Styela clava: one gene and its partners. The protein of the gene in region 1 binds, or shares a complex with, the protein of each later gene. Links are inferred from orthologs where the notes say so. Each region holds a gene or a part of one and is shown on either strand. Other genes may lie near its edges.

Region 1 (7,971 bases):
GCAGCAACTTCCTTTTGTATTTAGTTCTTCAAGCATATCGCGCAGAATATCTAGAAAAATGTAGGAATGTAATCTGTAATGGTAATAAACCTCAAAGGTGATTGTTTTACAATCAAACCAATAGAGTACAGCAGTGAGGAAACCTTTTGTCACTCGCGGGCCAAAATTAAGGTTGCAAGTCATTGACGGGTCGCACATATTTTTAGAAAGTTGAAAATTTCGAACGGATGGTACTTTTTATAATAAAAATCAAGCACTGATACATCTCTCGAATAGAATATAGATTTATTTCCTCATTGCATCTCATAAAATCCCATTTGAATATTTTCAGCGCCATTGAACCCTTTGCACTTAGAATTAACTTTTCCGCGTTTTGTTGCCATTTGCCTAATTATAATTAAATTATATGCTCATTAAACGAGTAATTGTGAATTATATAATTGTTGGGTTATAATATAATTAAGTCTAAAGAATATATTCGTCAAAACGGATGTTTTGTTACTATAATTTAGTGAAGCGTCGCGGGCCGGATTATAGTGCTCCGCGGGAAAGAAACAGGAGCAGGCTATTTTGCATTATTATGCACACACATTTCGCTCCAAAATATGAGATCTGCTTCATACGACTGTAAAATGAGTGTTTGTATCGTGAATGTAATATTAATTTGGCTATTTTTGGGACATTTCATAAATGTACTTTAAACGAGGGTTTGGATATAGATCTACGGATACAATATTTTAAAATAACCAGAATCTATGTTTATGCAAAACCTACCAAATTCTTACACCCTGAAAGAATGAGACTTATTTTTTTGTTTAAAATCAAGATATATACTTAACATAACAATAACATAACTAGCTGTATTGTCTGCACAGGGCCAAATATATTTTTGAGTACTCCCGTAGTATGTGCACCATGTTAGGGTTAGGCCATAATTTTATTCCGATTTTCTTTATTTTAATTCTATTACAAGTCAGGGATTGTCTGTGTTAGCCAAGTGAATATACCCCCTGCCCACAAGTTTCAGTCACTTTATATAACTTGGATGTAAAATAGGCAAACAAAATTAGTCACCTCCATATTGGTACACATACTTCTGGAGCGCCCATTTTTCAGTTTATTTATGAAAAAGACTTAAAATGCGATGGTTTTTATTTCTTATTGGCAGTTAAATTGAGCAGAAGTCCTAAATTTCTTTCAAACCAGATTTACAGTTAAGGGTTGTTTCTTACTTGGAATCATTTCTCTAGTCTCTTCATTAGAAACGAAGCCATTCTCCTTCTCAAGTTCTGACATATATTTTGAGAGTTGTTTGATCATTGGAATACAAGGAGAACTCTTATGTTTACTATCGAGCACCAGACCAAAGTTAAAGATGAAATTATTTCTTGGATAATGAGATCCCTCGATACATACTGGACATCCAATCACTTTCTTTTTCCCTACATTCCTAAATACAGTATTAATTATAGACAAATGATATTTACTGCGTGTTATAGTCACATTTTTAATAATGCTGCATGATAGCTAAAGAGAAGCAAACACAGCTACCTTCATTTCAGAATAGCCCTATGAAAATACATAGTTAGGACGTTTTTTGTCTGAAAAAAGTTTCTTCTCACTCCAGAGATTCAAAATGCAGGTCTAAGTCAAGGGTCTGAATTGACAAAATCTTAACTCACTACAGCTTACAAATGTGAGAAACTATTTTAACTACTATTTTAACCAATAAAAATTTGGACTCCCAACTCTCTCAAAGTCCCAAATACTGAATCCAGATTCCAAATAGTACACCCTTTCAAATCAGACTCTGATTGAATACCACCAATTATAGTAAACCACAATTCTCTACGATAGTCAGAATCTAGGAATAGCTTGGTCATAGTGTATTGCAGAAAATTTGATTAAACAAAAATATTTTAATCCCATTTACAGCTCAGAACAAGCTGAAGCAGGGTTGTGCAACCTGTGGCCTGCAAGCCAATTGAGGCCCACCGGGAAAAATTGTGCGGCCTGCGGAGACATGCCAATTTTGGATTGTGTGCGGCCCGGGAAACGCAGTTTTAATTTAGTTTTATCTGGTATGAGCGAGTAACCCCAATACCTTAGAGTTGCAAAGCCTATACCCGAGACCAATTTTTACGACGTTACAATGCCCTAACAGCTAGCTAGCTTTTTGTGCATGCAACTACATTAAAGCCTATGTTAAATAAAGGTGCGGGCCACGTTTTCTTCCAGTTATTTGAATGTGGTCTTCATGTAATAAAGATTGCACACCCCTGGGCTTGAGATATTCTTCCCTGTTATTTGACCAAATTTTGTGTGTATTTCATTCATTTCAAGGAAAATAAATTACAAAATATACCAACACAGTTGTCAATTTCTCTTGTAATTCTGGTTTAGGAATGATATAATTCGTAACTTCTTCAAATAATCCTTCTTGTTGGTTAAAATATCCATCAGGATACTGAAATTAAAATATCATATCAAATGATTTATTGCAAAGAAGGAAATCAAGTCATAACAATAGGAAGGACAACATCACTGATCAGAAAACTATATTCCAGAGCTAATGATAGTTAGACCAATATTAGATGTAGTAGATGTTTTACAATCATGAAAATTTGTTCAAGTTATCAGATTTTTGAAAAACAAGAGACGAAACTTGAACTTATACAACAATTTTACTTCTACATTCAATATTCCCTTTTTTTATATTATTGTACAGAACACATTAAAAATACTGAGACATATTTCAACCTTATAATATTCAGTCATGGACAATGTTCAAGAAACAACAAAACAATGCTTAAATATGAAAAACACAATCTCTAACCACTAAAAATTCCAAAGCAATTGGTCCAGGAGTTGAAGAAAAAAACGATTTTTCCATAACCATAAGAAGAAAAATACCAAGAAGAACAATAACAACATAATATTCACAAAACGATTTATAGGTCCACTCCATTGTTAAATACCTGATAAGTTATCTTGGGTCCTTGCAAATGATGAAATTCACTGAAGAACATACATTCAATAGGATGTTTCGCAATGTAAGACTGCAATGAATCGTTCATATTGCTGCATTCAATGACCTTCATGGGTCAGCGAATACAGTTAATTAAACTATCAATTAATCTACATTGAAAGAATTCAATTAATAATAGTTTAACATATAACAGATTATCACAAAAACAATTTTTGATGAAGATTTCGATTCCCATGGTAACGAATCCCCCAAAAAAACTGTTTTGATGAGTTGAGTGATTCAACAATATGTAAAAATAAACGAAAATGAGAAATGAATGATGATAATTTTAATAATGCTTGAATAGATCAAAAACGTTTTTGAAGCAATGGCCTATGTTTACAAGGAGGCCTGGATTATTGGAAAACAAAACTCAAAATTTTTCAATAAAAAACTTTGATATTTGGCCCATACACGTCAAAACCAAATCAATGTTAGAAGAAAACACTCGTTCATATTACAAGTACCGTAATCGTTGTTTTATAATAACTTAATCAAATTTTCATTACTACCGCTTATAATATAAGAATATAATCAACATGTATAGCATATTTGCTAATGACAATCAAGATAGGTTTTTTATATTTATCCTGAGCAAGGCTGATGAAATGGCTTAATCCTATGGTAGACTGTTTCTTGTCCGGTTGTATGTCCAGGACAAGTATGGGTATAGATAACTTTGTAATTGTCTCAGGTCTATGCAATTAATTTGAGAATGAAAAGCATCTACTGAATGATAATTTGAATAGCCTACTATTTTTATCTGCACCAAGAATGTGAGGAATAAATAACTTGGAGATAAGAAAAAAAGGTAGAAATGATTGTACAATATTTGAAGATCCATTTTGCAATACTTGGTTTACCAAGCTGATAGAATTTCTATATAAACCCTGAGATTGAAAATAAGATGAATCATTCCATAGCAAACCACAGTCCAGTATTAACTAGAAACCAAGTCAGGCGCACTTAATCAGGTAAATGCTGCCTTGTTACTGGAGTATTCGGACGGGACTAAAGCCATGGATTTTTGTTGTAAATGGAGCTGGCAGAAAGTTTTGCAACTCCATTTCATGCCCATCCTTTTTTTTTCAATTTATAATTTTCTAATTCATTAAAATAATGAAAAAATTCCCTATCCCATCTCTAAGGTCAAGTGCTAAAAATGTAGTTACAGTAATGTTTAGATATAATTCCTACAAACTACACAAATGCATTTAATAATGCTTTTATTAGAAGGTATTCCATGAATGAACATAATTATGAAAGCCTCAAAATACAATAATAACACTACAAAAGTATTTTCTTAAGAGACGAAACATTAGTTTGGTATGATATATATTTTAAAACTTTAATAACTAATCAATCTTCTGAATAAACATTATTCAATATTCCTCCATTCATAAAAACTTGGGATCTGGAGTAAACTGAATAATTGCTGAAGAAAAACAGCTTAAAAATCAAAATTGGACTACGTACATCAAAAACAATTTACCAAGTAGTTTGAAAATAGACCACATTATATCACGATTTCAAAGCAAAACCAGAAAAATACATTGGACTATACGTAAACTGACATCTAATTTAACCATTTCGTAGTGATTTCCCTGATTATATGATATAAGTCAGTTTAACATTTGTTGGAAATCAGTAAATAAAATAATTCAAGTACCGGTATGCCATAATTCCCACAAGCGCTAAAATCAAAAACACACTTTTTATTAAAATTCTGGAATAATTTATCGTCTATATGTAACTGCGAAAAGTTGACCTCACAAATATATTCCATGCATAAAAAACATTTGGCTATCACAATCTATATACAAGCAGTTTAGTTAACAAAAGAAAACACGATTTATATACCAGTTCATGCAGTTTATGTATCATGATTTTGTCACAAAACACAATATTATTGGCACCCAGAATTTAATATTATTTTCAACTAATGCTTGAAACAGCCTTTCGGCTTGATTTTAGTCTGGCAGGAACAGCATACATTGGACTAAGTAAACTTAAAAACATATCTGAAAAACAAACGCTCAGATACGGAAAGGTTGTCAAATACCATAAATTAGATTGGAGCTTCTGTGGGCTCTATAAGAATTTCATTTACACCTACATGATCTGGCTGAGTAAGGGCATATAAGACAGCCCTTCCAATGTCTTCAGGGTCAAGGATTTTACTTGCTGAACCCATTGTATTGTATTGCACTTGGGCATCCAGATCTCTCGTATAATTCCCAATTTCAGTCGCAACGTCACCGGGTTGAATACAAGTTACTCTGACCCCCTTGTCTTTTACTTCTTGCCTTAAAGATTGAGAAAGTCCTTCTACAAAAAATTTTGTTGCGGAGTATACCGCTAAACCAGGAAACCCTCTCCTGCCTGCATCTGATGATGTGTTAACAATATGACCTTTCCCCCTTTCTACCATTCCAGGTAGAACACACCCAATACCGTTAGTTACGCCACGACAATTAATATTAATCATTTTATCCCAATCATCCATCATTGCATTGTGCATGTGCGTGTAAAACATGCATCCAGCATTGTTTATTAAAATATCAATCGGGCCCATAAGTTCCTCAATAGTTTTCACAACTTCAGAAAATTGAGCCCGATCCGTTACGTCCAATTCATATTGGTGTACAATACCACCTTCAGAGTCAATTTTTTCACAGACTTCAGCAAGTTTATCTTGTCTTCGTGCGCCAACACATACGTGTGCACCCGCTCTTGCAACAGCTTCCGCAATAGCCTTCCCGATTCCACTTGATGCACCAGCGACTAAGATTACTTTGCCTTGCAAACTTCCTTCGAATGCGCTTAATTCACTCATGTTCGTATCGTTCTCGGAATATGGTTCTGGTACTTGTATTTCAACTTGCAAATTTGGTAAGTTCGATATTGATTCGCTGTTTAAATTGTCAGATTTAATCAAAGATTCACTTGAGGAATTTTTATATTTTGAACCAAGATTTTGCATAAATCCACTTCTCATAAAGGATGGGGAATTACTGATACCCTCCCAATCATAGACAAGAGTGGCGTCTTTTTTACTTTTGCTAGATTTCTTTTTTGTGTTGTTTGATTCCTCACTGTTTTCCAGTGATAACCTCTGTAAAACGAAACATTTCATTGTTTAAACTTTATACCATTGACATTTTATGAATTTCAAACAAACATAATGGATTCAAAGATATTCAATACTGTATTGAACAGATGTTTTGATAATTAATTTTAATTGTCTTTAATTCCAAACAAAACTCTGCGTGAGAAACCACTACTATGCGAAGAACTCTTATATTTGAAAAGCCGTAACTCCAGTTTGGCATTATCCATCCAAATTCATTACTAATTTTTTTTGAAGCGGTGAGCATGAGATTTGAACACAAGATTTTCAATCTACGATGCCAACACAATTAATTCAAACTCTTTGACCACTAGTCCAGCATATCCACTCAATCTAATTAAAAGGAAACAATAGTGAATCGCATCAATCTAGAGCATATGAAATAATTGGATAATAGAAGCAAAATCTGACCCCAAAAACATGTTTAATAAATTCCGCATCATTGAAAATTACGTTAAAAGATTCAAACATCTGGGTAAATAGATATTGAATAGGCTACAAACTTATTGTAACTAAAACTGTTTTTACAATATCCATTATCAAGATATCTTTATTCTTACTAAAGTAAGACCTTTTAGAATCTCAATTTCTAAGTTATTTTTACTTTATTAAGCTTCACAAAAGACTTTCAAATTTGATTTTCTGCAAATGAAAACTTCTGCCTTGCTGCAGTGCAGGCTACAAACAGACTGAATGAAAAGGAAACTCAAAGAGAAGATTTTATGATCAATTCTCAATCAATGACTGGTGAGTGTCAACATGTCACCTCATGCATTTCCTGATGCAAGTCACTTGTAACTGTCACATAAAACATGCAAAAATATCAAAACATTTACTTGAACATCATATCGTTATAATTAATTGTTGCCATCTTTGAGGGGAACACACAATAAATAATAAGATATAAGTCGAAATGCGAATGTATTATATGGACATTTCAGAGAACATGATTTACCAAAACGCAATGATATCTATTAGTAATTAATCAAGCCAACTGATTGAATAAACAATTTTTGCCGTATATTTTTTAATGGTAATGATTCTAACGGTATGAAACTTTTTGTTAGATTTGGCCTTGTGGAAACCACTATCAAAAGAGTAGAGAGCAATAAATTGTGAACAATATTCAACCAGATAACTGGCATAAAGCCAATAAACTTATTCTATGAATGACTGCTTCTCCAGACCATTTGAAAAATTCACATCTAGATTTTTCATTCAAGCAAGAGAATTAGGACCAATGTGGACTTTACTCTAAAAAAAGAATTAAAATGTTTTGCGATGATGATACAGCAATGGTACAAAGCATTGAATACTTTATCAACAAAACTCCTTAATTCTTCCGTGAATTTGAAAATAAATTGTCGAAAGAGAAACAAACCTGAGATTGTCTAACTCTTCTTCTCACTTTTCTCATAGCAGATCGTACTTTCTCTTCTCCTTTCTCAGCAATAATTGGTTCTTCAATAACAAATTTTCTCATTGCTTTCGCCACAGGTTCCCCAGATTCTAAAACTTTCATTTTCAGTCTAAAATGAATTGATGAGCAACCAATTAGACATTAAGCTATTTTCAGAAGTACAAAGATGTTTTTTTTAAAGTATATCTCAGATCTCTATCCCATAATTCCAACATAATTAGAAAAATGTACAGCGAATACAAAGCCAATGCAAAATTCCTCCACAAGATTGACAAAACTTTGTTCTGGAGCGGAATTTCTCAACTATTGGGAAACGGTTTAAATCAGAGGTTCTCAACCTTTTTCAGTTCGGGGACCGTAAAATTTCAAAAAAAATTTCGCGGACTGGCGGAC
Region 2 (8,356 bases), on another chromosome or scaffold:
TTCAAAACAGTTTTATAAAAATAAATAAATGATGAAAAATTATAGTCACGTATAATATAATAAACAAGTAGGCTAGTCTATATTCATAAACATCATATAGTAGTTAGTACCGGTAATTCATATCTGTATATTGTTCCATTCAGCCATTGTTGATTCCAGATAAAGTTCACCATGTTTAACAGTAAATAAACATTATTTTACATGTTTTTTAATTATTGTTAGCAGGAAAAGAAAAATTTATACAATTATTCATAGGTTCTTGCAGATTATGATAAGTTCATAATCTTATATAGTCTAACTAGGTTTTTGTCTAAATTGTTCCATATTTCTCCTTACTGAAATGGATTTTCTAATTCTTGCTATGACATTATTTACACTTGGATTAACATTAACATCCTGTTATACTTAACTATATATTCCAGAAATAAATTTATTGCTGTAATCTAATGATAATCCAAAACAAATCCATACCATAAACCTGTAAACCAAAAAGTTGAATGCAGTGAAGTGCTGAGATCAGAAAAATGGCGGGATTTCAATCAAATGTGAACAACCGTAATTGTGGTGCACAGAGTCCGATTTTGTTCACCCGCAATAACCATTGCGAATAATTCTATACTAGACATTTATTTTTCAACATTGATGTGTTCATTTTAAATATTCATTTATTCTTTTTCAATTTATTATCCTAGTATTTACTATATACAGATGCAAATAAAGTTTTAAATATTGATTTACCTTGAGAAAATATCGCAAGACTCATTACACATATTTTGAAACAGTCATATACATATCTGGAGGCTGGAGCAGATGACATGTTGCATTCATTTAGGCATAGACTGGCTGATTGGCCTGAATGTAAGAAAGGTTTATACCTACAAAATCGCGCTTATATTTATATTGATTTTGTTTGTTTAGTTATATTAAAATAAATTATAATATAAATTAGGATTCTTGCCTTATTACAGTATTATTGAATTTTAATGATCCTTTATTTCAGGGGTTCTCAAACTTTTGGTGTTGCGGAGCCCTTGAAAGGTTGAATATTATTCGCGGAGCCCCAAAATAAATTTTAAAATTGTTACTTTCAGATTATTATTCCCGAGCAAGTTAAAAGTACTTTATTTATTCTAAATGCTGAACCTTTTTTAATAGGGTTAACACAAGTCATAAATAAATCTAAATTTTATACTAAAGCTGTAAATTTGACACTTGACGAACATATTAATAAATTAGGGATCGAATCTTTTTTTTTTTGACATTTTTGGAAGACTTAATTAAAAGGCCGTTAGTAACGTGCGCTATTTCATTTTGTTACAATCGCCGATTTTTTCCGTCAGCATGGCGTGTTTTAAACATCTTTACGCCGCTGTTTATTCTCCCTAAATCAAAAATTTCCCTCGGCATATACATGTATTGTTACACAATGACGACGTTAATTGCTTTTTTGTTCTCGTGGGGAATTATGAGTTCAATGTGAAAAACATGTTACCATATTATTATAGTCATCGGCGACGAAATGCTAAAAATAATAATCAATAAAAAGGTAAATCCACAACTCAAATTTCTTGATTGAAAAGCGGCATTCTAAAATATTTAAACTGAAACTTAAAATGGAAGATCACACTTTGGTTTCAGCAGACTCACCTCAGATTGAAAACGCTTCTATAGACATTGTAAATCACAAAATTTGGTGTTATGTTAGGTTTTCATCGTAGTAGCTGCGAAATCGAAACACAGTCAATTGTGCGCGCGATTTACCTTTTTTTTTCATTCTGAAACTACCGACGCAGCCGCACGCAATCAATGGTGCGCGCGATCCGCGATGTACCTTTTTTCATTCTGAAACTACCGACGGAGCTGAATGCAATAAAATAATTTTCAATTGTTCGTATTTTCCCCAGACATTGTGATTTTTTAAACAGCGATATCTTGCTTAAAAATAATCTCAAGTGCGAAAGAACAAATCAAGTTTGACAAATACCAAGATCGCAAAAATACGACACCAATTTATTTATAGTTGGCAGCTTATCACATATTTTATGTTATTTTAGAATAGTATTCTTTCATTTTAGTAATCCTAATAGTAATCTCGAATCAAACGTGAGTAACGATGAGCACAACTACATTATACCGACGAGACACGTCAAATGCTCCATCGGTCTTGGATTGAATATTTTACGCAACAGAAATCTCGTTATCCGTTTTTTTAATCGCGAAAAATGTTGCGCGGAAATTTCCGATTCCAATTTTGAACCATCTCCCTCTTAAGAATCCTGGCTGCGCTACTGCTCATAAATAATGTCATTTTTTAATTCCGGCCCTTTACCATATTTCGAGGCTATATTGTTGTCAGATGTTATCAAAACTGTTATTGCTTCTTTGAACAGTTACAAAATTTTGAGTCAGTATTTTGAAGAGTAATCGAATAGCTCGCGGAGCCCCTGGGTTTCACTCGCGGAGCCCTGGGGCTCCGTACGGAGCACTTTGAGAACCTATGCTTTATTTAGTCTTATAGTAGGTAACTATCAACTATTGTAGATTTGAATGTAATTATTCTTTTATTATTTATAGTGCGATATAAAATTTGGATCATGAGAAATTATACTTCAAATAAACTCCTGGTATTGCTCTCCTTTAAAAGCAGATAAAAAATGGCCGTTATGTGTAAAAAAAATATAGAAAATTCTAGAGTAAAAAAATGCTTTAGGAATTACAAAATTTATGCGAAGTATTATTTTAGACATGAAATTAGATGTTAATTTTTGTTTTTTGCAATTGCTAAAATATTTCATGTCTTAGTCAATGTTTTATGTCTGGTTAATTATAAAAGTTCTCATTCTGTAATAATGTAAACTTTCGTGTAATGAACCATTCATATGGGCATTATTTCTGTATTTGAAGTCGTTATGAAATGACCATGTCCCACATTCACGCTTTAACAGTACTATAATCAGAAAATGGTGATCGGTATGTATTTACCAAATGTCCTTTATTACTAAAGTACTAAAATGGCTATGTACCCACTTAATTAATCATGTCCACATAAAAATGGCCGTGGTTGTTACTCCAGAATTGAATAAAACACAAAATTTAAATAAAAGCTAGATTAGACCGATGGTTCTCAACCTGTGGTACGCGTACCACTAGTGGTACACGAGCAGATTTGAATTATTGCAACAATTAATCTTTCAGTTGGCTAAAATATGTCGACAACACTTTATCCTCCTTACTGTATGTATTCGCTGAACAGCGTTTATGAAGGTTTTCCCAAGCATCAGTTTCCTTGTTCATTTCCGTAACTATCACCAATCAGCAATAAGTCAATAATGACGCAACACGTAACAATGGCAATTTCTGCACTCAGTCGCACAGACACTTCTGTCGCTCAAACAGATATTCAAGCATGGTTGCAAACATTGCCCCATTTTTGTAGTTTTGAAATATATTTGTCAGTTTTCAGTTGTATTTTAAGGAAATAATTGTGAATTAATTAACTTATTTGTCATTATGTCTCCCGCAGAGCTTTACTTTAGTTGCAGTAATCGAAATTGAATCTCGCAAATGCTGTGATGGACAAAGCTAAACTTAGCTACCGGTATATGTGGGGCTGCCATCGATATGAACCCAAAAATAAGGACATCAGGGAAACATAATAATACAATAACAAAGAACGAACTGTAATAAACAAAATGTATTCATGCTAGTGCGTGTCTAAACATACTTTGCAAAGGATTTGCTCCAGCAGTTCTTTATTCTTAGAAAAAATCTGTTCCATCTCACTTTCAAGTTGTATTTTAATTCAGGTTACACGCAGTGATTTTGGTCGGTAGGCTTTTGTTTTGTCACTGTGTCAATTATTTTTCAGTTCTTACTTATGGATTCACGTAGCAATCAATGATGTTGTAAAATATCATTTCTAGCAAATCAATCATTCGATTTGACCAATCTAAATGCCCGATATTAGAACGTCTACCCGTAAAATAAGGTCACATGTCGAAATAAGGACGTTTCTTAGAAATAAGGAAAAAATTCTTTTCTAAGACAAAGGCCTTCAAAATAAGGACAAATCTTAGAAATAAGGACGTTATGGCAGCCCTAGCTATATCAGTACCTGCAAACGGCACATGGTTGATTAATTTTAATAAAAATGATGACTCCAAACACGTAAACCATTTTATATGCGCCAACACATCTAAGCACTCTCAGAATAAGCATGAAGTTTACAATTGTAAAGTATAGTGGTAAATTTTCCGGAGTCAAGGGTCGGAGAAACATCCACATAGCGCTGGTGCGCTATCAGTCATTGTCTCTAGAGATCGCCCGCTATTGCCCATCTTAAATGAAGCGATATGGGCATGTTTTTGTCCGTTTTGTGTGTCACGCCACAAAGGATGTAGTGCCACATTATAAAATACTACCGTTACTACTAAATAACACGTTTCTTGTGTCTTTTTCCTCACGCCAAAAAAGAAGCTTTGTCGGTGGTACGCGGCCATAGTGAAAAACAGTGAAGTGGTACGCGGTCAGTAAAAGGTTGAGAACCACTGAAGTAGACCTATTGATTTTTGTTGTGTAAAAAGAATTCTATTTGACTCTATTATTCAATTCTACAAGCCGGATAGTGCTGTAAAATATTTATGAGTTCTAAACTTCAGAAATTTTTTGTTTTTATAATTTCCATTTAAACTGATCACAAGCTAACACCATTGCCGTTTACTATTATTATTGCATCACTTCCTTTTTTATTTTTTTGAAATAACGTCTCAATAAAACACAACCAAAAAAATTGAATTAATGAGAGTATGATGCAAAACATTTGAACCACTAACTAAAGACATGCATGCATCGCGGGTACCCATCTCTTAATGAATACCAAGTGGCCAGTACCAAGAGCTACAAGGAGGCTGTTTAAATCAGAACAATCATGAAAGCACAATCAATTTACTCAAAATTTGCCCAAATTTTAAATTTAATTTTAATTAAATTAAATTTTAATCAGAACAATCATGAAAGCACAATCAATTTACTCAAAATTTATATTTTACATATCTCAACTTGTAGTAATTTTATAGCTAAAATGGATGATACAGAATCACTAGCTGAATTTAGTGCCATTAAGATCAATGCCGAACATAAGGATCTTATTCATGACCTTGCTTTCGATCATTATGGAAAGCGTATGGCGACTTGTTCCAGTGATCAAACTGTCAAAGTATGGGATTTAGATGATGATGGTGATTGGTACTGCAGTTCCAGCTGGAAAACTCACAATGGTTCAGTCTGGAAAGTATGTTGGGCTCACCCTGAATTTGGGCAAGTGCTTGCAACATGTTCCTTTGACAGAACTGCTGCTGTATGGGAAGAGATTGTTACTGATACGACAACATTGAAAAATAATAGATCATGGATACGTAAATCGTCTCTTGTGGATAGTCGAACATCTGTAACTGATGTAAAATTTGCTCCAAAACATCTCGGTCTACAACTGGCTACTTGCTCTGCTGATGGAATTGTACGTGTTTACGAAGCACCTGATGTTATGAATCTGGCTCAATGGTCTGTTCAGCATCAAATCAAATTGAAATTAGGTTGCAGTTGTTTGTCCTGGAACCCCTCAAGTTTTTACAAACATCCTTCAATGATTGCAGTGGGTAGTGATGATAATAACCCATCCGTGGGCGGCAAGGTTTTAATATATGAATACAGTGAAATCAATCGTGATTGGGTCAAAGTTCACACAATAATGACAATAACGGATCCTGTTAATGATATTGAATTTGCTCCGAATTACGGTGCGATGAGACACACGCTTGCCGTAGCGTCAAAGTGTGTTCATATTTTTGTTATGAAGCTTTTGAGTGATTCTAAAACATCTGGAACTGAATCGTCTAGCTATTCTGTGAGTGAAGTCGCTAAATTTGATGCTCACAATAGCAAAGTATGGAGAGTTAGTTGGAATGTTCTTGGTACGGTGTTGTCATCGTCTGGAGATGATGGAAAAGTTCATCTCTGGAAAGCTAATTATTTAGATAATTGGAGAAAAGTTGGAACATTGAAAAATTTGCAAGATAATAAAACAACACAAAGCAATGTTTCAAGACAAAATAGCTCCAATGATAAAGGACTGTCCAATTCTCAACAAACTATCAGGTATGCTGGTGGAAATGTTCGAGGTGGACAACTTTTTTAATAAAATTCTGCATGTTTGCAAGTTTTAAATATTTTTTCTAATTTCATTCAATTCGAAACTTGCAATTCTGAGTGTTTGCATATGCTTTGTTCCCAATAATCTTGTCTTATAATTTATATAATTTTGAGGCATGGTTATGTATTTGCTATATTCAAAAAAATTGTACATATAGAAATAAAGTGAAATTTGTGATTGCATATTGAACTAATTTAGATTGGTAATGTAGTATTGCTCATCTCAGTCAAGCATAGGCTGCTAGGGCAATACATAGTGAAATTGTCACAAATTTGGGGTGATTGCTAGACATTGCTTAGGGTAAAGTGGTGGCTTACAAAGATTGAGAATTATCGTTTATCCTCATATATGAGCCGATTTCACATATAAGCCGACCCCGTAAAAAGGCCCTTCAGCATTGTCGTCTATTATGGAATGTTGGCATATCGGTATTGACGTTTTCAGCAGCGGTGAATTTTTATAAAAAATTCGTATTTAAGCCGACCCTACAAATCATACGCCCTTATTGGTAGGAAATTAGCATGGTTTGAGTGGAATTAAGTTAGCATAATATCATTTCGTTTGAGTGCGATTAGAGTTATGCGCTTTTATTAAGCCAAATTTTTAGTGCGATTAGAGTTATGCGCGTATAAGCCCTTAGTTTCGCAACTTTTTTGAGCTTTGTATTCGGCTTATATGCGAGGATATCAGTGATTTTTTTTAATCATCGTCAGTGCCTAAATATTAAATTAACAGAGGGGACCATTGAAATAGCAACTGGGGCTATTAATCTATCTATTCGCAACTAATTCATGATGCCTTGGACATATCGTAATTGAAAAATATTACTGTGACATGATTTTCTGTTTTTTTTTCTTGACATATAACCAAAAAACACATGTATAGGACAGGCCTACATGGTGAATAATATGCTCAGGCTGTGAAGTGGAAACTGTGGTACCATGAGATTCACAGGTGCTAGCAGCTTTGGTGTGAATTAACTGTAAGTTTACTCCAACTTCATTGAGTATTACTGGTGGCCATTTCGCAGAAGATTATGACCTATGATCAATGTTCCCTCTAATTTTTTGTAGTATGTGTGCGCAGAAGTTTTGGTGTGTGCGCACTTTTTTTGAAATGACTAATATTTGTGCAAATACCAATGAAGAAATTTTAGCGTTCTAACCGGGTAATGGGTGGGCCAACAACAAACTTTATCAACCTGCCAACCGAGAACATTGTTACATTACATCGAAATAGGTCTGTGCGCAGTAAATCTATGCGAGTGCGCAACCGCGGGCACACGCGCACACTTTAGAGGGAACACTGCTTATGATACATTGCTTTGAGTATATATATTCTCAAAAAAATGTCACCAAAATTATATTTGACCAGTTTGACCACGAGTACTGTGTCTGTAATGCAGCGCTCATAGGTGTAGTTTCAGTTTGGGTGTTATTTGTATTTGAGCAAGTTGGTATGTAAATACCGGTATATCTAATTTGTTGATAACCATCATTTTTTATTTGAAACTGCCATTTATTTTCATTTTCTTTCAGCCTTTTCTGTTGTTTTTCTAGTTTTAATATTTTTTCTTAATTAAACAATCTGCAATCAGTGCCAATTTTTGTTTGAGGAAAAATCTTACTTTCTGCTATCGCATTGACACAATTTCTCAGAATTTTAAATTATTTGGTGGTTATGCTGAAATTATGTATCGAATATTAACAATTAGTGATTATTTTTAATTCTTGTTTGATCACACATGTATCTGGAGTTATTTGTTCCTTCTGCCTATGATTTTAAATATGGTTACTGTCAAATCAAATGGAGAAAAACAAAATGAATTTTTTCTACAAGGGATCAAAAAACAGAGTTCTGGTCATTTGGAGCATATTCTAGAACAGTGGTTCTTAAACGGTGGGGCGCGCCCCACAAGGGAGGCATAGACAATTTTGAGTGGGCGTGTAGCTAATAAAAAATAAAAATATTTGTTACATTTAATCTTGCCTATTTTATTTTGCCCAATCTTTGTTGGATATTTTCATTTCAAAACTTTTCATTATTTACGTTCCATCCACGCATTTTCAACAGGTTTTTTAGATAAAATATACTTTCGCTTTGCTATCTGTTATTTGTAGCTTATTGTTAGCTAGTTATTTTTTGACT
Region 3 (8,498 bases), on another chromosome or scaffold:
CAATACCCAGACCCACAATTATTTGAGCCAATTGTATCATACACGTCACAAGAGCGCAGTCAGTGCCAACACCCCGTTCTTGAGCAGTACCTTTGAATTTCTGGGAAAAGAAAAAAACGATTATTTTAATGAAATACCATTAAAAAAAAAAAAAATTTTAGTGATATCATGTTGCTGATATGTTTTAAAATCAACCGTGTTATGCTGCACCCAAGACAACATTTTTCATACTTTGAGTCAAAAATTGAGTTAAAATCATTTGTAATTAGAATTTTAACAAAAAAGTTAGTAGAATAGTATCTAACCTTGTACCCTTCATGATATTGTGCCACCAGGAAGTATGGTAAAGTATATAATGTCGCGGACATCACTCCAATCAACGACGATAATATCAGAACACAATATACATTCGGATAAATTGCCATTCCCAGCGCGCCCACAGCGAAAGCAAAATATCCCAGCATGTAGATAGGCCGGGCTCCAAATCTCTTAATCATCGGCTTAAGAAGAACTGAAACGAAAGAAATATTATTAATCAAGTCTGTTCTACGTTAATAACTATTTGCTGCACAGTATTTTTGAGAAGATTAGCCTTTTTTGAGCAAAGTTATTTTGCAAATACTGAATTATACATATCCTCACAAAGTCGTGTGATTGGAAAATAAGCACTAAATAAAATTGATATGCTTTCAGTTCACTAGTAAATAGTGCTGATTCAGAACGGATCAGCATTTGTGATCTGAAAAAACTGGTACCCAATATTAACATGCACCTGGTGAATAGAAATTACATTAAATACTCAAATACTTTATTCTACTTACAGCAGTAGAAGCAAGATGCTACTGCATTAATTGTCATTCCCCAGCTTCCCATTTCAACTCCTAATTTGTATGCATCTCCTCGTTCGGTTCCAATAGGTGCTAGTGGATCGCCTCCATACACTTCTTGGCCCACGAAATCAGTGAAAAACAGAACAACGCACAAGAATGCCATCCATCCGAATAAATGTGCGATACAAAGACTCCTGAAAATGTAACATTTGTTGAAAAATAGGCTATTTTGATTATACAATACAGCGGGGTACAGTGAAATAAATATATGAGAGGCGTAGAATATATTTCTTGCTTTTGGACCACGGCTGATTTTGTAAGATGATTTTTGAAATTTCATAAAATTATTATATTCAGGCAAATTATAATAAGCTGTTGAAATTGGAAGAATTGGATAATTACTTAATTTCCTTAGGCATTCCGACAATTGATTTCCAAATTTTTTTGGCACCATGCACGCGTTCTTCAGGCACGTCTTCACCATGGAAATCACTTCGTAATAAAGGAGATTCCAAATCTTCGTCCTGGTCCAAGTCGTCCCTGATTTCTGCGATTCTCGTCTTCCTTGTACGGTTTGACTTTTTCTGATACTTGCGTGGCGCCTCGTGTGGCAGGGGTCGGTAGGGGTCAGAAAAGTCTTCGTAATTTACAATATCACTCGATTTTTCTGTTCTTTTTGCTGTGTAAGTTCTTGATTTTTCACGCTTATTTGCGCTTTTACGTACTGGAGAATAATCGTTGGAGAAGGAACTTCCCGAAGAGGAATCAGAATCTGGAAATACAAAAAATCATTGATACCAATCTATAGTATAGCGTTGGACGCGTATTAACTGGACCTTGTTGACGGTATTACACCCTTTCCCCTAAATAACATTTTAGATAAGTTGAGTGAAACGAAACGGATCCTACCTGACGGGACGTTTATCATTTTTCCATTAACTCCGTTATTATTGTAATAGTAAGGTGCAGTTGGCGGATGAGGCAAGGCGCGTCGATTTTCTTGTTGCTTCCTTGTACCACTTCTTGGAAGCGAAGCAGATTTGTTTGCCCACGATGCCATTCCTTTTAAATCTGCAACTCCCTTTATTTTTTCACCATAGTTGTCTAATGGAACACCATCCTTTCCATTATGCGTGTTGTACTTCATGGCTGGGTATGTGTTTTGTTCTTCGCTAAAGTCTCTTGGAAGACTTTGATATTGATTTTGATAACCGGATTGCGTCAAGTAGTCATGGATCTGTTCCGCGTCCGGGCGTTCGAAGCTTCCATACAAGCCATTATCTGTTTTCTTAGATTTTCGTCGATCTTTTCTCTGCTTACTCTTCATTTTGTATTTCATATGGCGTGATGATATCATGTTTGAAGTATGTGGGGTAGTAATGACGTCATGATCTATGGCAGATTTGGTGTCTTTTGACGATCTTTTCAAGTTGTTATTTGCATCAAATTTTCTTGGATTTTCCTCTTCAATTACCATGTACTTTTGTTCTCTTTCAGGGAATCGTCGTTTTCTCGATCGTACATCCTTTCCGCCGCGGCGTTTTTTAGAAAAAATTGTCTTCTTCTTTATTTTGGTATCTTTCAACTATATGTGAAAAATTTGAATGAAAAAAAGTCAACTTACTTTTAAGTTTACCGATGAAAAACTAATTTTATTTCTCTTTATTACTGTTCTTGACTTTAACAGAACGGCAATATGGTCTTACCCGATTTTTCTCTGGAATGCTAGTCAGATTCATCGCTACACAGATGATAAAAATGAGGGCTGCGAAAACGTAGACGACTTGTCTATCTGATGGAAAATATGTACCAAAACCAAGATTCCGAACCCATGACACTCCACCGCTTGCATATCCGAGAGCACCGCCCATTCCTGAAACAAAGATCGGCTCAGTTTATTAAATTTGAACTTGAGATAAAAAAAAATGTCCCGTGATGAAATTCATTCAAAGATTGACTTTACCCGTAAACACAGCTTGATAAAATAATCCGATTTTGACGTCATCTTCATCACATACATCCATGACGTAAGCGCGAATCGGGCCTTCGATAAAATCAGCGCTAAAATCAAAAACAACAACACCTGCGATCGTTACCAGTATGGTTGCGAGCACGTTTGATCTAAAAATAACAAGAAATTGAATAGATTAGAAACGAAACAATTTTTACTAAAAATTACTCTGAAAAAGTAATAGAAAACAATAATCCAGTGCCATACCTTTCGTTCGTATTCTGACTTCCGACATCATTTGGGTTTCCGACAACTAGCTCCACAAATTGTTCTCCGTTCAAGAAGAAGGTCATCCCGAACAAAAGCAAAACTGCAAGAATCAAAATGAATGGTCTTCTGCGTCCCCATCGCGTCTTGCACCTGAAAATGAGTACAATCGTATCAAGTGTGTTTATCTTTGGGTAATGTTACAAATTTTTGATTTAGGCGATATATAGTATTCTCTACAAACAATAAGGGAGTAGGTGAAATTGGCATTCTGTTTTAATTAACTAATTGAACGTGCTATTTTGTCGATTATATATATATATATATAATAATAACAAATTACATAACAATGTAAAATCCATACTCACTTATCGCTGAAGCTTCCAATAATTGGCTGAAGAACAAATCCCAGAATAGGACTTATTACCCACACAAGACTGTACAGGTTTATTGGAAGTCCAATACTTAGCAGAATAGGGGTTGTGAGACTCGCTTCAATGGCATAACAAAATTCTCTTCCAAACATTATAAAGCTATTCAAAAACAAGCTCATTTTGCTTCTTTTCGGCCTAATGGAAGACGTGGTTGAAACGGACGTAAACCCAGAAAACGCGGTGATCGAAGACATGGGCAAAGATATAATTGAGCTCGGAGCACGAATATTTCTTCTTTGTTTCCTTCGCCGAACTCTTCTCGCAATTGGCTCTTCTGGGACAGGAAGCAAAGCTCTTGTGCTATGAATATCTTCATTTAGATTCTGGTATGATGGAGCACTAGGATAATTTCCTGGTCCATTTTCATGTTGGTCTGGTGAGGTAACTACCACAGTCGGTTGTTGCGGAACGTTAACTTCGAAAACACGTTTACCGACTTTGACAGTGCGAGTTTCGATTGCTTTCTGTTCTTGAACTTCCAGCATTTCACCTTTTGGCGAAACAAAGGCGTTACTCTCCCCGTTTGGTTCGTCCAACCAGGATTCCTGCCCGAATGACGAACAAGTCGCGGAAGCAAACCGTTTATTGTCAGCAATCTCCTCTGTGTCGTTGTCGACTGATTTCGATGATCTAGCACTTTGCAAATATTTATTTGTACGCTCTGCTATTTGACTAGAAATTGGCATACCTAGCCTATGTTCACAGCTTCTCCAACTAACATAATTTGTGTGTGGAATACAAAACATTGTTCTTTATAAACCAAACAAGATTATTTTTGTTACACTATTCTGTCACGCGACAAGTTTTATTTTGTTTTAATGCGGAATTAGGATGCATAAGCTAATTAGACACGATTAGCTTCATTAAATGTTTATAATAGCCCATGAAATACTTCCTGGAATCACGCTGGTTTCACTAACGCATTCATTAATAAATATTATTCTTTGGAGTAACAAACGATCACAATGAAACAGGCAGTGACATAAAAAATTCAATGTCAGTTTGTACTTTTAGTTGCTTTGCAAACATCTAGGCGCAAATTTGCAAATATTTTTCTGCCATGTAAATTTGACATGCTTTGACAGGCATCTATAGGAAACGCTTGTATACTAAAATCATTGCATATATATATATACAGTCCTAATTTACTTTATATTTCCTTAACATGACAAAAATAGTTAAAAAAAAAGTTTTCATAAAAGTACATGATGTAATTTTAAATAAACTAGGAACCCGTGATAGCTAACCCTAGCTAATTCTATGCCCGACAACGACTGGTGAACGGACGCAATATACAATATGATCAGAGCCATTATATAATGGCTGAGCCTTTTGGATGTTTCCCCGAGCATCGAATCCTTTTTAATTACAGCAAAACATTAAGTCTACGAAGATGTAACAATGGCAATTTATGCAGTCGCTTGGCTCAAATTAGCTATCAGTTCCTGTAAGAGACATGTGGTTTAATGTTTAACATAAATTTTTTTGGACACGCGAACAAGTTTGTATACGCCTATTTTCCAAAATACTTTCAAAATAAGTATTAAAAATTTCGCTGTAATAAAGTATAGGGAGAAATTCTCTGGGGTTAAGGGCCGGGAAAGTATTCATCGCCTCATCATATTTCCTCCCATCTTGGATATGCAGTAGCAGTGCTATAAACTTTCACCGCTATATGGTGCTGGAGAGTATTGATATTTCTCTTCAAGGATGCAATGCTGCAGATTTGCAACGGGGCGGGTATTCCCTTGGCTTGGGCTGGAGTAGATATTCGATAATACTTGTGGCCCAGAAAATACGCTTGCTAATATTCAGATATTGTTGAGGATTGCGCACTATCGTATCATTTTGTAACTAATCTAGATCTGTAGATAATTACTTCACCATATCTCAGGATGTCCTGTTCACTTTATAACAAAGTTACCGTAAGGACTAAAGAGGTTTCACTATGAATAGTATAGTATGCTGGGCATTGGTGGCAGGGGATGGAAATTTTAAAGACACCCACAAATTTTCCAATTGCAAGTGTGCTTTCTGTTTAACATGGTTGTTTGTATTGTGCTACTTTTGATAAATATGCCTTGAATTGTTCATCTTATTTCAATGGCAAAATTATCCATTTTGTATTTTTTTATGAGCTCCTGCAACCTTACTCTGTGGATATTATTTTGGCAATATCTATTTTTTCCTCTTCTGACGCCAATAAATGGGTATGTACCACCTAAGACACCAGCATAATTTGACTTTCCTACTGTAACATGGTTCACTTTTGCTCATGGTATTTCTTTGTGTGAGTGCTGGAGTGTGTAATTGAGATTGCTTTTACTGTTTTAATAAATGATTTTACACCTCCATGTTGCCTGCCAATATTGACAGTGTTTGGATATTGTTTTGGTAAATAGTTTCAATGTAGCCTATAATGATTCAAATGTTCGTATACAATAATGGTAGCTGAGAAATCACCAGGATTAGCCTTGCAGTAAATATATATAAATATAGCTGATCTCGAATGCTGTAAATTTTGGGTCTGAGATTCCTATATAGCATAAAAATATACAAGTCAAAATCTATGAGAGACGCTTGCTGTCAGAAATGCAAAAAATCACCGAAAACCTATCAAATGGTTGAAAAGTAGCATGAAGTTTTGAATAGTGGGAATAAAAATAGAGTGACAATAGCTTGAAATAGAGGCCGTGGTTCGCCATATGGTTAAGCCGTCCTATCGGCTTTCCTCTCCCTCGGGATAAATGTGTCTATCCTAATCCTAATAATAGCTGTGAATACAAATACCTAACAATGCGTGCCAATGTTAGAAGAAAATAGTGACTAGTAACACAGGAAAAAACAAAAAAAGCTATATAGGCCTATTAATATCAATCAGAGATGGAGGAGGTCGTTGGGATTCTATTACATTTAATTTTATCTACCTGAATTTTGCTATCTGATTTCAAGCGCAACACTTATTTTACTCCATGTAAGTTATCGACTGGTCTGCTGGTTGAAGCAATTATTTGGCTTTTATCATTTTAAATTGAGTTATAAGCACTGCCCGATTTTGAATCGTGTCCATATTTTTTTGTATACTCGTATTATTCTTTTTTTATATTTTGGTGGGTGGGCACGTACTTGTACGTTTTTTTAACTTTATTTCAAGTTATGCTCGCCTTCCTGTTAAATCTGTATTTGTTGTCTGTTTACTTTTTTGTATTGTTCTGCTTTTAGTCAGAGAGCCGAAATAAAATGATTGATTGATTGATTGATATCAATTTCCGTGGTCAGGTTGTCCTAGCACTGTCAGACCAGGCTACCAACCTACTGCAGTACCAGGAGACTGTACCAGAGATATTGTACTGTAGCATTGATAAACTTAGTACTAACCTTTGATCAATCACGTAATGCTGTGATGTGTGGGATACTGGGCTATATTTCGAAGATAGTTTGTCTCTATGGATTACAGAATTGTGATTGAATGTGCCATACTCCATTACTTTTTTGCATGTGAATTACTGAAATCAATTCTAGGCAAATTTTTATTTTGATTCTAGTGTTTTGTTGTGATTGTTCCTGCTTTTGAGGTAAACTACGGATGCCTCATGTCTTTAGATTCAAATTCATATCCTTTCTTCATAATTCCGTCTATTTTATTGATATGATGTTGTTTTTCTATTACTCCTATTAGTATTGCTGTTTTAATTTATTCTGTTTTTACAGTGTTAGTTGATGACCGAAAGATAAGAAGATAGTGTGATCAAAACAACTAACTTACAGTTACTACATCTAATAAACAATTTCTTTAATGTTTTCATGATTGACTTAGTGACTATACTAAAATGGCAGAGTCTGGGATCATGAAGAAATACAAGTTAAAAATACATCAAGCGAATTTCAGCGGTAAGTTACTACAGTCTGGTGATAATAGTTGGTTGGAAAATTTTTTATCTGGCAGTTTTTAGAAGCTGAATTTTTTTTTTGCAGAGGAATCACTGGTGATCAACGCTAAAGATTTTCCAGGAGTTAAGAAAGATGACATTCTTAAAATACATAACTGTGATGGAGATACTTCCAATCATCTTTTTATGAAAGTAGGTATTTTATGAAGCGTTTTTACATCTTCACTCCGATCTCCAAACAACAGAACAAGGCTGTATACAAGTATCCACCGATATATTAGGAGCTTGTTGAATTATTTCTGAATGGATTGCAATTTTCTGGTTCGGCATTGCTTATCTAATTTACTAGATTAATTTTTTATTTGCTCGGCTGTGTGGCGCATCGTGCTAAGTACTAGGAAGATGCTGATCACCGAATCTCTGATTACACTGTGTGGGTCGAATCTTGGGAGGATGATTATGTGCCAGATGATTACTGGACTTGCCGCCGTAGGGTGGTTCATGTAACCGCTGGTCAGTTACGGCTTCCTCCACCATCAATTCCATACATCTAAAACAGATACCTGGCTAAATAATTCCATACCAATATGGACTGGTAACTGTCGAGAGGCCATGGTTCACCATATGATTAAGCCGTCTTATCGGCTTGTCTGTCCCCCAGGATAAATATGTAAATCTCTCAATCCCCATCTGGGTCAGCATGGACTTCCAACCGAATATCTTCAATTTATGATGCCAACAACTAAAATTATCTAGGGCTTATCTAATCATGTGGTGAACTATGACCTCTGGTTTGTTTACCTGCCCATGTCGGGTATTAGAATAGTAAACCAGTTTTTCAGTTTTTCATGCATGGACATTTATAGAACATATGTTTGATTGGGTTACTTATAAAGTATGAATTCTGCCCAAACAATCTGATATTTATGCACATGAACAATCGTTTCTATTTGAATATTGCACAATTTAGAATATGGTCCATTATAAAACATTTTTTATTGATGGCAGTATTCTGTAAGCCAAAAATTATTTGAAAAATGTACTAGCCTAATTAAACTTTACTTTTTTAGGTCAAATCATTAAAAAGGGAAACAGAGTTACAGAAAGACACAATCAGCATCGAACA

Evidence for each region. Proteins that work in one complex are often made in the same cells at the same time.
Region 2: GATOR1 complex protein NPRL2-like (region 1) and nucleoporin SEH1-like share a complex: the UniProt entries of both Drosophila melanogaster proteins name them as parts of the GATOR complex. The link is inferred for Styela clava from reciprocal best matches to the Drosophila melanogaster genes Nprl2 and Nup44A.
Region 3: GATOR1 complex protein NPRL2-like (region 1) and GATOR1 complex protein DEPDC5-like share a complex: the UniProt entries of both Drosophila melanogaster proteins name them as parts of the GATOR complex. The link is inferred for Styela clava from reciprocal best matches to the Drosophila melanogaster genes Nprl2 and Iml1.

Annotation. Positions count from the first base shown.
Region 1 is NC_135262.1:4,330,664-4,338,634, reverse strand, and holds the start of GATOR1 complex protein NPRL2-like, read right to left. Parts: upstream 3,120-7,971; 5' UTR 3,102-3,119; coding exon 2,979-3,101; intron 2,468-2,978; coding exon 2,370-2,467; intron 1,451-2,369; coding exon 1,233-1,450; intron 51-1,232; coding exon 1-50. Other genes in the region: uncharacterized protein LOC120332525, read right to left, coding at 5,097-6,143, 7,540-7,687. UniProt on the Drosophila melanogaster protein: An essential component of the GATOR subcomplex GATOR1 which functions as an inhibitor of the amino acid-sensing branch of the TORC1 signaling pathway.
Region 2 is NC_135251.1:17,060,946-17,069,301, forward strand, and holds the start of nucleoporin SEH1-like, read left to right. Parts: upstream 1-5,049; 5' UTR 5,050-5,080; coding exon 5,081-6,153; intron 6,154-8,356. UniProt on the Drosophila melanogaster protein: Probable component of the nuclear pore complex (NPC). Involved in maintaining the localization of another nucleoporin Mgtor to the nuclear envelope of early meiotic female germline cells.
Region 3 is NC_135264.1:6,356,653-6,365,150, forward strand, and holds the start of GATOR1 complex protein DEPDC5-like, read left to right. Parts: upstream 1-5,191; 5' UTR 5,192-7,312; coding exon 7,313-7,373; intron 7,374-7,457; coding exon 7,458-7,564; intron 7,565-8,442; coding exon 8,443-8,498. Other genes in the region: membrane-associated transporter protein-like, read right to left, coding at 1-100, 306-511, 822-1,024, 1,233-1,602, 1,740-2,415, 2,537-2,703, 2,794-2,951, 3,049-3,201 and 1 more. UniProt on the Drosophila melanogaster protein: An essential component of the GATOR subcomplex GATOR1 which functions as an inhibitor of the amino acid-sensing branch of the TORC1 signaling pathway.